Linked DNA regions of Mus musculus. The protein of the gene in region 1 purifies or fractionates together with the protein of each later gene. This does not show direct contact. Links are inferred from orthologs where the notes say so. Each region holds a gene or a part of one and is shown on either strand. Other genes may lie near its edges.

The links.
Region 2: the proteins of Otub1 (region 1) and Ube2e3 purify together in Homo sapiens (affinity purification with mass spectrometry; 3 studies listed by BioGRID and IntAct, counting the BioPlex papers as one, with this or other methods). This does not show direct contact. The link is inferred for Mus musculus from reciprocal best matches to the Homo sapiens genes OTUB1 and UBE2E3.

Annotation. Positions count from the first base shown.
Region 1 is NC_000085.6:7,203,280-7,207,104, forward strand, and holds the start of Otub1 (ubiquitin thioesterase OTUB1), read right to left. Parts: upstream 3,006-3,825; 5' UTR 2,981-3,005; coding exon 2,923-2,980; intron 1,173-2,922; coding exon 1,111-1,172; intron 878-1,110; coding exon 779-877; intron 1-778. UniProt on the Homo sapiens protein: Hydrolase that can specifically remove 'Lys-48'-linked conjugated ubiquitin from proteins and plays an important regulatory role at the level of protein turnover by preventing degradation.
Region 2 is NC_000068.7:78,867,744-78,871,646, forward strand, and holds the start of Ube2e3 (ubiquitin-conjugating enzyme E2 E3), read left to right. Parts: upstream 1-1,303; 5' UTR 1,304-1,662; intron 1,663-1,934; exon of another isoform or gene 1,935-2,275; intron 2,276-2,713; 5' UTR 2,714-2,741; coding exon 2,742-2,935; intron 2,936-3,903. UniProt on the Homo sapiens protein: Accepts ubiquitin from the E1 complex and catalyzes its covalent attachment to other proteins. In vitro catalyzes 'Lys-11'- and 'Lys-48'-, as well as 'Lys-63'-linked polyubiquitination.

The DNA.
Region 1 (3,825 bases):
TCTGGCTTCTCTGGCAACAGGGGAATAACTACGGACACTCACTCCCATGCCTGGCTATTTGTGAGCTACGCTGCTCACAGTTCACCTCTCAGGCAGCTTCACTCTTGGGCTGCTGCTGTAAGGGGTTACCTGTGTGACCACCTGAAGGCCCCACTTGCGAGCAGAGGACATGAACACCTATGATCTTTGGAGGAAGACTGAAGTACACCATTTCTTAACTCTTCAGGCTGCCTACTAAATACTGTTTCATCCCAGGGTCACAGTTCAAGCTCCGCTGCTCCCAGCTTTTGGGCTTACTGGGAAAGAAGCTTGCCTCAGTTTGAGTGATGCAGCAGAGACACACAGAAGAAGCCTGTTCTCCGCAAAGATCAAAGTAGACAGACTACAGGACAGGTCTCTGTGACCAATCTACCCATCCCAACACCAGCAAGTTTGGCCCCTGGCAGGCTACTGAGTTGTCAGTGCCCGCCCAGCCTGCACCTGGTCCCACCTGAGCATCACCTACCTCAACCTTACAGCCACCCTACAGGCAGATGCTTTCACTGTCCCTATTTTACAGATGAGGACACCCAGGGCTCAGAGACACTGAAGGACCTGTCAAGAAGACAGCTGCTGAGTGGTAATCTGATATGAATGAGGTCTCAGTCCAGAGGCCACACTTCAAGAACTAGCAATAGGAGGTGTGTCCCCGCCCAACACCCGACCCTCTCAGACATTAGGCCTGACAAGAAGCAGGGCTGAAACAGGCTCCCTCCTGCCCCTCTGGCCAGGATCCCACCTTGATCTTCTGTTGGTAGATGTTGTCATCCTCAGCATACTCCTTGTACAGGACTGAGAGTTCCAGCCGCTCTGACACCAGAGGATTCTGCACAGCAATCTGCAGGGAGGCAGGAGACTGAGGAAGCCACGCCTAACACCTACAAACGGGGTGGTGGCCATCCAGCAGCACAGCAACCCCACAAAAGCATAGAGTGCCTAAAGTAGACTCAGAGACTTGAGAGACTCGAGAGGGGAGGGCTTCAAAACAGACACTAGGTCTCAGGCCCTGACTATGCATCCCCACCACAAAGCCCTCAGCTACTCCCTCCCCAACTTTCTTCGGCACCTCACCTCTTGCTGAATTCGGTCCTGCTGAGCCATAATGGCTTCATCATAGGCCAAACAGTTAACACCTAGAAAAAGGAGAAAAAAGAAGTGCCAACCAAGGGTTCCTATGGGGTCTGGCTATCTCTATGGCAGGCAGCTTTGGCAGAACAGGTCTGGAATCTGGAACCCTATGCCTTACACCCCACTGTGTATTCTTAGCAAAGTTCTTCCTTCTTTGAGTTCTCATTTCCTCATCTTTTGGAGAAAGTAGCTAAGTGTGGTGTCATTTGGGAGGCTGAGGCAGGAAGACCACAAGTCTATATAGCTAATCTCTAAAAAAATAAAAGTAAACAAGGGAGCAATTACAGACCAGAGCAGGATTAAGAAGCCTAGGAGTTAGAGATCAGCTCTGGAAATATAGCAAGCCTTTATCTTGGAAGAAAAAAAAAATAGGGCTGGGCTTGAGACCCAGTGGTAAAGATATATTTGTCCTGCAGGTGTGAAGCCCTAGCAACCTCAAGAAATAAGTAAATATAAATATAAATAAATAAGTAAAATGACAAGTAAAGATCACCCCCAAAGCTCTCTTGCAGCCCCGATATTCCTTCCTCCCTGCCTTCTAAAAGCACTGTGTAGCATCTAGGGAATGCTCTGGGGAAGGGAGCTCTGGGAGAAAGCAGGATGAAGGGGTGGAGCCCTAGGAAGAATGAGTGCATCCTGTAAGCATGCACTTTACTGAGACACGCCCTTTGTCCTTCTGTGGTCCCCTGTATTGTTCATTTTCCAAATTAAAAAACAAAAAACAAAAACCAGAGGTAACTCCATCTTGTCCAAGGTCAAGTCCACATTTGTAAAATTCCAGTCTGAGCTCTTGGACATGTCACTTGCCAAAGTCCTCTCCCCTCACCTCTAGAATGGATTAATGCCATCACCTTGCTCCCATCATCAAAATATGCTGGGATCCTGCCAGCAGCAACTACTACCTAAGCACTCTCTAGAGTCATCCACGGATTCGGGACGTTCGTTCTGAGGACTCTAAGCAGCTATTGTAGGAGTTTCTAGTCTTGGATCCTTCTTAGATGTGATGGAGAACAATTTCTTTCTGCGTATCTGGGTTTCCTAGTCCTCAACCTCTAGAATATAGTGTGGAGTTAGAGTAGGGTGTGCGAGTATGACTGGCTTTTTAAAGCCAATCCTTTGGGGCCTGGTTATCCTAGGTTCTCAGCTGAGCTTCCCACCATGTCCTACAACAGGACTGTCCCTCCCACTCAACAGACTTACTCAACCCCTAGAGCTCAAGTTCTCGGGAGACAGGGAGAAGGTGTGACTGGTTTCTGTCTTTTTTTAAAGACCAAGAATCTAGGAAAACAATGCCTGGATCCGCTCAAAGGTGCTGTAAGGCCAGCACAAGCTCTAAGGCAAAGAGCCGCCAATGGCATCCCGAACGGCCCAGCAGGGACTTCGTCCTTGGAAGCCCGGCGTTCCTCAACGCCTTTCAGCAGCTCGGCCCCGGCCTAGGCCTCGGCTTGACTGCTAGGTCTCCGGCGGGCTGACTGTGGGAGCCGGCCGAGGCCACGGGACCGGCGGAGGCGGGGCGGCCCAGGCCCCGCCCCAGGCGTGCGCGAGAGGCCGAGCCCCGGCCCCGGCCGCCCCGCCCGGCCGGGGGTCGCCGCGGCCCTGCTTCCATTGTGAGGGGGAGGGGAGGAGACGCGGGGAAGGGCTCGGTCGCACGCTGCGCCTACTCCCCAGGGCCCTGACTCCCCGAGTTCCTCGGGAACGGCGGGCCGTGGATTGCCCCCGCTAGCCCGGGAAGGACATCCTTCCCTCCGTTCGTACCTTCGGAGTCGCTACCCAGTGGCTCCTGCTTCTGCTGCTGAGGTTCCTCCGCCGCCATCTTTAAACAGCGCCGCACTGGCGATCGCTTCCGGGTTATTAATTGCCCTCCTCCCGGAAGGGAGCCCCTCCTTGTGGCCCCTCCTTCGCAACGCCCCTAGCAACAGGCTCCCTTTGGCAGTCGTCAGGGCCTGGGCTGCTCCTGCTGCCCTGGAGAGCTTGGGGGGACGCCACGCGCGCTTCCACATTCCACTTTCCCAAAGGTCCTGCGGGGCTAAGGACCTCCTCGAGTCATTTCTGTTTTCTGTATACTGAAGTTTGAAACGCAGGTTGTGTAACTAAGATAAGGAACAAGATGGAATTAAAGTCACTAGAAGGTTAATCCCAGCTGCGCGTACTTTCAAGGTACAGGACGGTAGCTGCAGTGCGGAGCGCAGAGCCACCTCGAGACAGGAAGTGGTGACAACCTCCTGACGCCCTTCGGAGCCTTCGCGGCCTCTCGCCTCTCACCACTGAGCCTGTTCTCTAAAGCTGTAAAGACCTGTTTCCAGCACGGGGAGCATCTTCCCTTGATACCAAAACCAAAACCCTCGACCTAACTTTAGGCTATATGTCCTCGTATTTGAGAAAGCAGAGCCACTTAAAAGCAAGAATTTGAGTCCATAATCCGAACATGTGAAAGGTGGAGAAAGAATGGAGGATCCGGCGTTCAAGGTAATCGTGGAGTTTCAGGCAAGGCTTGGCTACAAGAGACCCTGTCTCAAACAGACCAGACCAAACCAAACAAAACCTGAGCCAAAAAGTGGCCATCTTTGCTAATTTTTGCCGAAGCTACCCATTTTCTTTGAGTTATGTCTCCATTCTGAGAAATGGACATTCCCATTTGCAGGCCCTGTGTACCCTGAA
Region 2 (3,903 bases), on another chromosome or scaffold:
TTTACCAAAGCTCTTCTATTTGGAGGAAAAATAGTATGTTGGCTCACTTCTTTTCATTTTCCTTTCTCTTGAGCATTGGCTCATGTCTTATGGCTCCGCCATTCTAGTTTCTTCTGTGAACTCCTCCTCCCAGGACCCCTGGCCCTGAACACTCTTGAGAGAGGAATGCACAAATTCCTTCGAGGTTCCATCACTGGAACATGGTCTCAGGAGCGGCAAACAGGAAGTTTCTGGACTTCTGTCTATTTTGTGCTTGGGGCAAAACTGGACTCCACTTGGAAGATTCCGCAAAAAGCAAGGCAGGAGTAAACCAGCAACCTTCCTGATTCCTATCTAAAACTTTTAATGAGGACAGTGTCATATAGAGTCAGTCCCTCCATGGCTTCTCTATCCAGAAGTGGTCTCTCTCTCTCTCTCTCTCTCTCTCTCTCTCTCTCTCTCTCTCTCTCTCTCTCTCTCTCTCTCTCTCTCTCTCTCGCAAAGCAGAGCCCGCCGCCAGACACATCGGGTTATTGCCCCTAAACTTCCTCACTCCACTTTTTACATCTTGAGCGGGACATTTAAAACACAGTTTGGGATTTTGTAAGTTTCCAAAGCGTCCAGAGGGCAGTCCCCTTTTGGCAGCGCCATTGCAGGACGGGAGCCAGAGATTAGCCGAGGTAGGTCCCCTGGTCTCAAAATCCTATTCACCTCGCTCAGAAGCCCAGGACTCTACCTTGCTACTTCCTTCAGCTCAGAGGGGCCAGAAGCAGCTTTCCTTTGCCTGCGTGCCTGGCCTCCTCAATAACACCATTCATCGCCTGCCTCTCGGGGCACCGGGGAAGCCCCAGTCACGCGCCAGGGTTCTCGCTCAGGTACGGGATTCCCGGGGTAACCGCCGGCCCCTAACCTCAGGGGCGGGTAGTCCACTGGGCAGCGTCGGCCCGGAGGCGGGCTCAGGCCGGAAGCCACCCGCGGCCCCGCGAGACCGCGCCCCCGCCCCCGCCTCCTCGTCCTCCTCTTCCAGTACGAGCTCGGCGGCCAAGGGCGCAGGGGCCAGCCCGCCGGTCCCCGCCGCGCTCTTTGTCCCGGCCGCGCGCGGGCGGACGCGTGCGCATCTGCCCCCCCGCCCCCCAGCTCCCCAACCTCCGCCACCCCCCGCCCGCCACCCCCCACCCGGCGGAAAAAAAAAAAAAAAGAAGGCGCAGCGGGAGCGCGCTCGCGCGGGGGCGCGCGGGAGCCGCTCGCGCCCCCTCCGCCAGGCAAGCAGCGAGCACGCGCGCCGCCGCGCCCGCCCCTCCCCCGCCCGCCCGCTCGCTCGGAACTTGCTGACTGCGCGACCGGGAGGAGCCGAGCCGAGCCGAGCCGAGCGCAGCGGCGGGAGGCTGAGCGCGCGGGGGGCTCCCGCGTCCCTGCGCCTTCGCCTTCGGCCGGCAGAGCGCCCACCCCACCGTGGCTCCCGGAGCGCGGGGCGGCGCCACCCTCCGGCCGCAGCGCGGCACTGCACGGCCGCCTGCGACTTTCGATGTTCCACACTCCCGGGCCGGAGCCTCGGCGGCGGCTTCTTTTCCCGCCCCCCCGGTGCCCCCCCCAGGCTGCCTCCATTTCCTCAAGGAAGGTTCCTCGGCGCTCTCCCTCCCCCACAGCGTAGCGGCGCACGAGCGGGCCGGGCGGGCGGCCGAGGTAAGGCGGCGGGGCCGGGGCCCGCGTGGGGGGCGGCGGGGGCGGGGGCGGCAGCTTTGTTCGCGCCGGGCGCCGCGCTCCTCAGTCCGCCGCGCTAGTCAGTCAGCGGCGCGGGGCGGCGGGTCCCGCATCCCCCGGCGGGCGGGCGCAGTGGCGCGGTCCCCTGCGCGGCCCTCCCCACAAAGGACCGCGGAGCTGCGTGGCCCAGTGCTCGCCCCGGGGCGGGCCGCGCCAATTTGTTGCACTTCTGGGGGTGGGGGGTGGGGGAGGGCTTTTGTTTGTTTGTTTGTTTTGCCCTCGGGGTTTTGGCCGCTTTGCGGATTTTTTTTTTTTTTTTTAAAATAACAAAATGTCGGTCGGTGAGGGAGGAATTGAGCGGGGAACGTCGATGGCACCGGGAGCTTTGCAGAAGGTGCAGTTTGGAGCCTGCCCTTCCCCGGGTGGCAGCTCGGGCTCGGCCCGGTGAATCCTCGCCGCCGGCCGTGGGGACGGCTGTGGGGCGGCTGCCAGTTGATTTTTTTTTTTTTTTTAAATTCGAGTGCTGTGTTCAAAGGCTTTCGGTGCGCACGGGAGGACCCCGTCACCGTAAATAAGCATATGGGCGACTAACGGGGTATGTTTTTCCTCTGGGAAGGAGGATTTGATCGCTCAGACCGGTGTCAGCCTGTAAATATTTAGACGGTATTAGTGACTTCTGAACATTCTCGGCGAGATCTGTTATTTACAGTTGTCATATGTTATTAATGCCCGTTGCCCAAGTTCCCTGGCAAATCTGTTTCATGCCTTCTGAGAAAGTAGACAATTGATAGATTGTCCAAGGGATGGGAAAAAAATGTGAGTGGGTTTTCCAACTTGCATTTTGGTAAATCCCTCAACGCCTGCATTATAAATTATGATACGTATCAGATTCCCTGTAACGTGCTGCACCCTAAGTACAGGGACTTTCGAATCCTTTTCAATAAAATACTCTCAAAGGTGCTTATTGAGAAGTGCATGCTGCTATTTTTTTTTAAAGATCTAATGTTTCTCCATGGGTCTCTTCTCTCCTTAGAAGTTTTCCCAGAGATAAGTTCACCAAGATGTCCAGTGACAGGCAAAGGTCGGATGATGAGAGCCCTAGCACCAGCAGTGGCAGTTCAGATGCAGATCAGCGAGACCCTGCCGCTCCAGAGCCCGAGGAACAGGAAGAAAGAAAACCTTCTGCCACCCAGCAGAAGAAAAACACCAAACTCTCTAGCAAAACGACTGCTAAGTTATCCACTAGTGCTAAAAGGTAATGTCTACAAGGGGAGGACTCACACGGTCAGGTCCCCTTCCCATTGGTGGCTTTTGCTGGCTTAACTTCAGTGGCAATAGTTCAGAAATAGTTCTCCATCAAACGTATGTGAACTTGAGTGGGCTGTCATTCTGTGTGTGGTATAGCCACGCAGTTTCCCTGCAACTATCGACTCTAAAGCCAGCAGACTTTGTTCTGTGCTGTGGTGACTCGAGGATGGCCTCAAGAAGAGCTGGGCACTCATTCTGACAGATGAAGGGCTTGGCAAGGGAAATCTGGTGAGTCCCAGTGAAATGGCTTGTAGGAGAGGTTTCCTTCTGTGAGTCATGTGTGAGTGAAGTTGACAGTTCTAGAGATCAGCAGAGCTTCTCTCCAGAAAACGGAATTGTCAGAAATAACAATATTTACCAGAAAATTGGTAAACTCCAGGCTTGGCTCTAGTGGGAAGCAGTTCTTAATGTGTGCTTTAAATTGGCTTACAATCTGTAAGAAGAGGACTTTAAATCATGTGGCACAGGTGTGACTGAGTGAGTTACTGCTATCCCACCTCCTCGTGAGGGCAGATACAACTCGGAAGTAGCTGTTACAGTTTAGGTGTCACCCAGTGACTGAAAACACCCTCGGCCTTCCTCTGCGTAGCTCCAGCATTGTGGATGAGCTTGGCAGGTTAACAACAGGGGGAACATTTCTGAGTCCAAGTGAGAGATCAGTTCTTCTCTGTTGACTTCTATTTTCTGTGGTGACTGAACAGATCCTGTCAATGGGGCTCCAAGTGGTAGCAGTGTTGGGATACCTAGAGAAACTAGTGATTAAGGTGAAATGTGCCTGCCTTACCCAGGACAGGTGTTTCATTGGTTTTTATTGGACATAAATGGAGGAAGAAAAATGTAAAGACTGATCATATGTTACATTTTTATTGTGATTCAAACTTTTTGTCTGGATCTAAACCATCGCTGAAGTGCTAG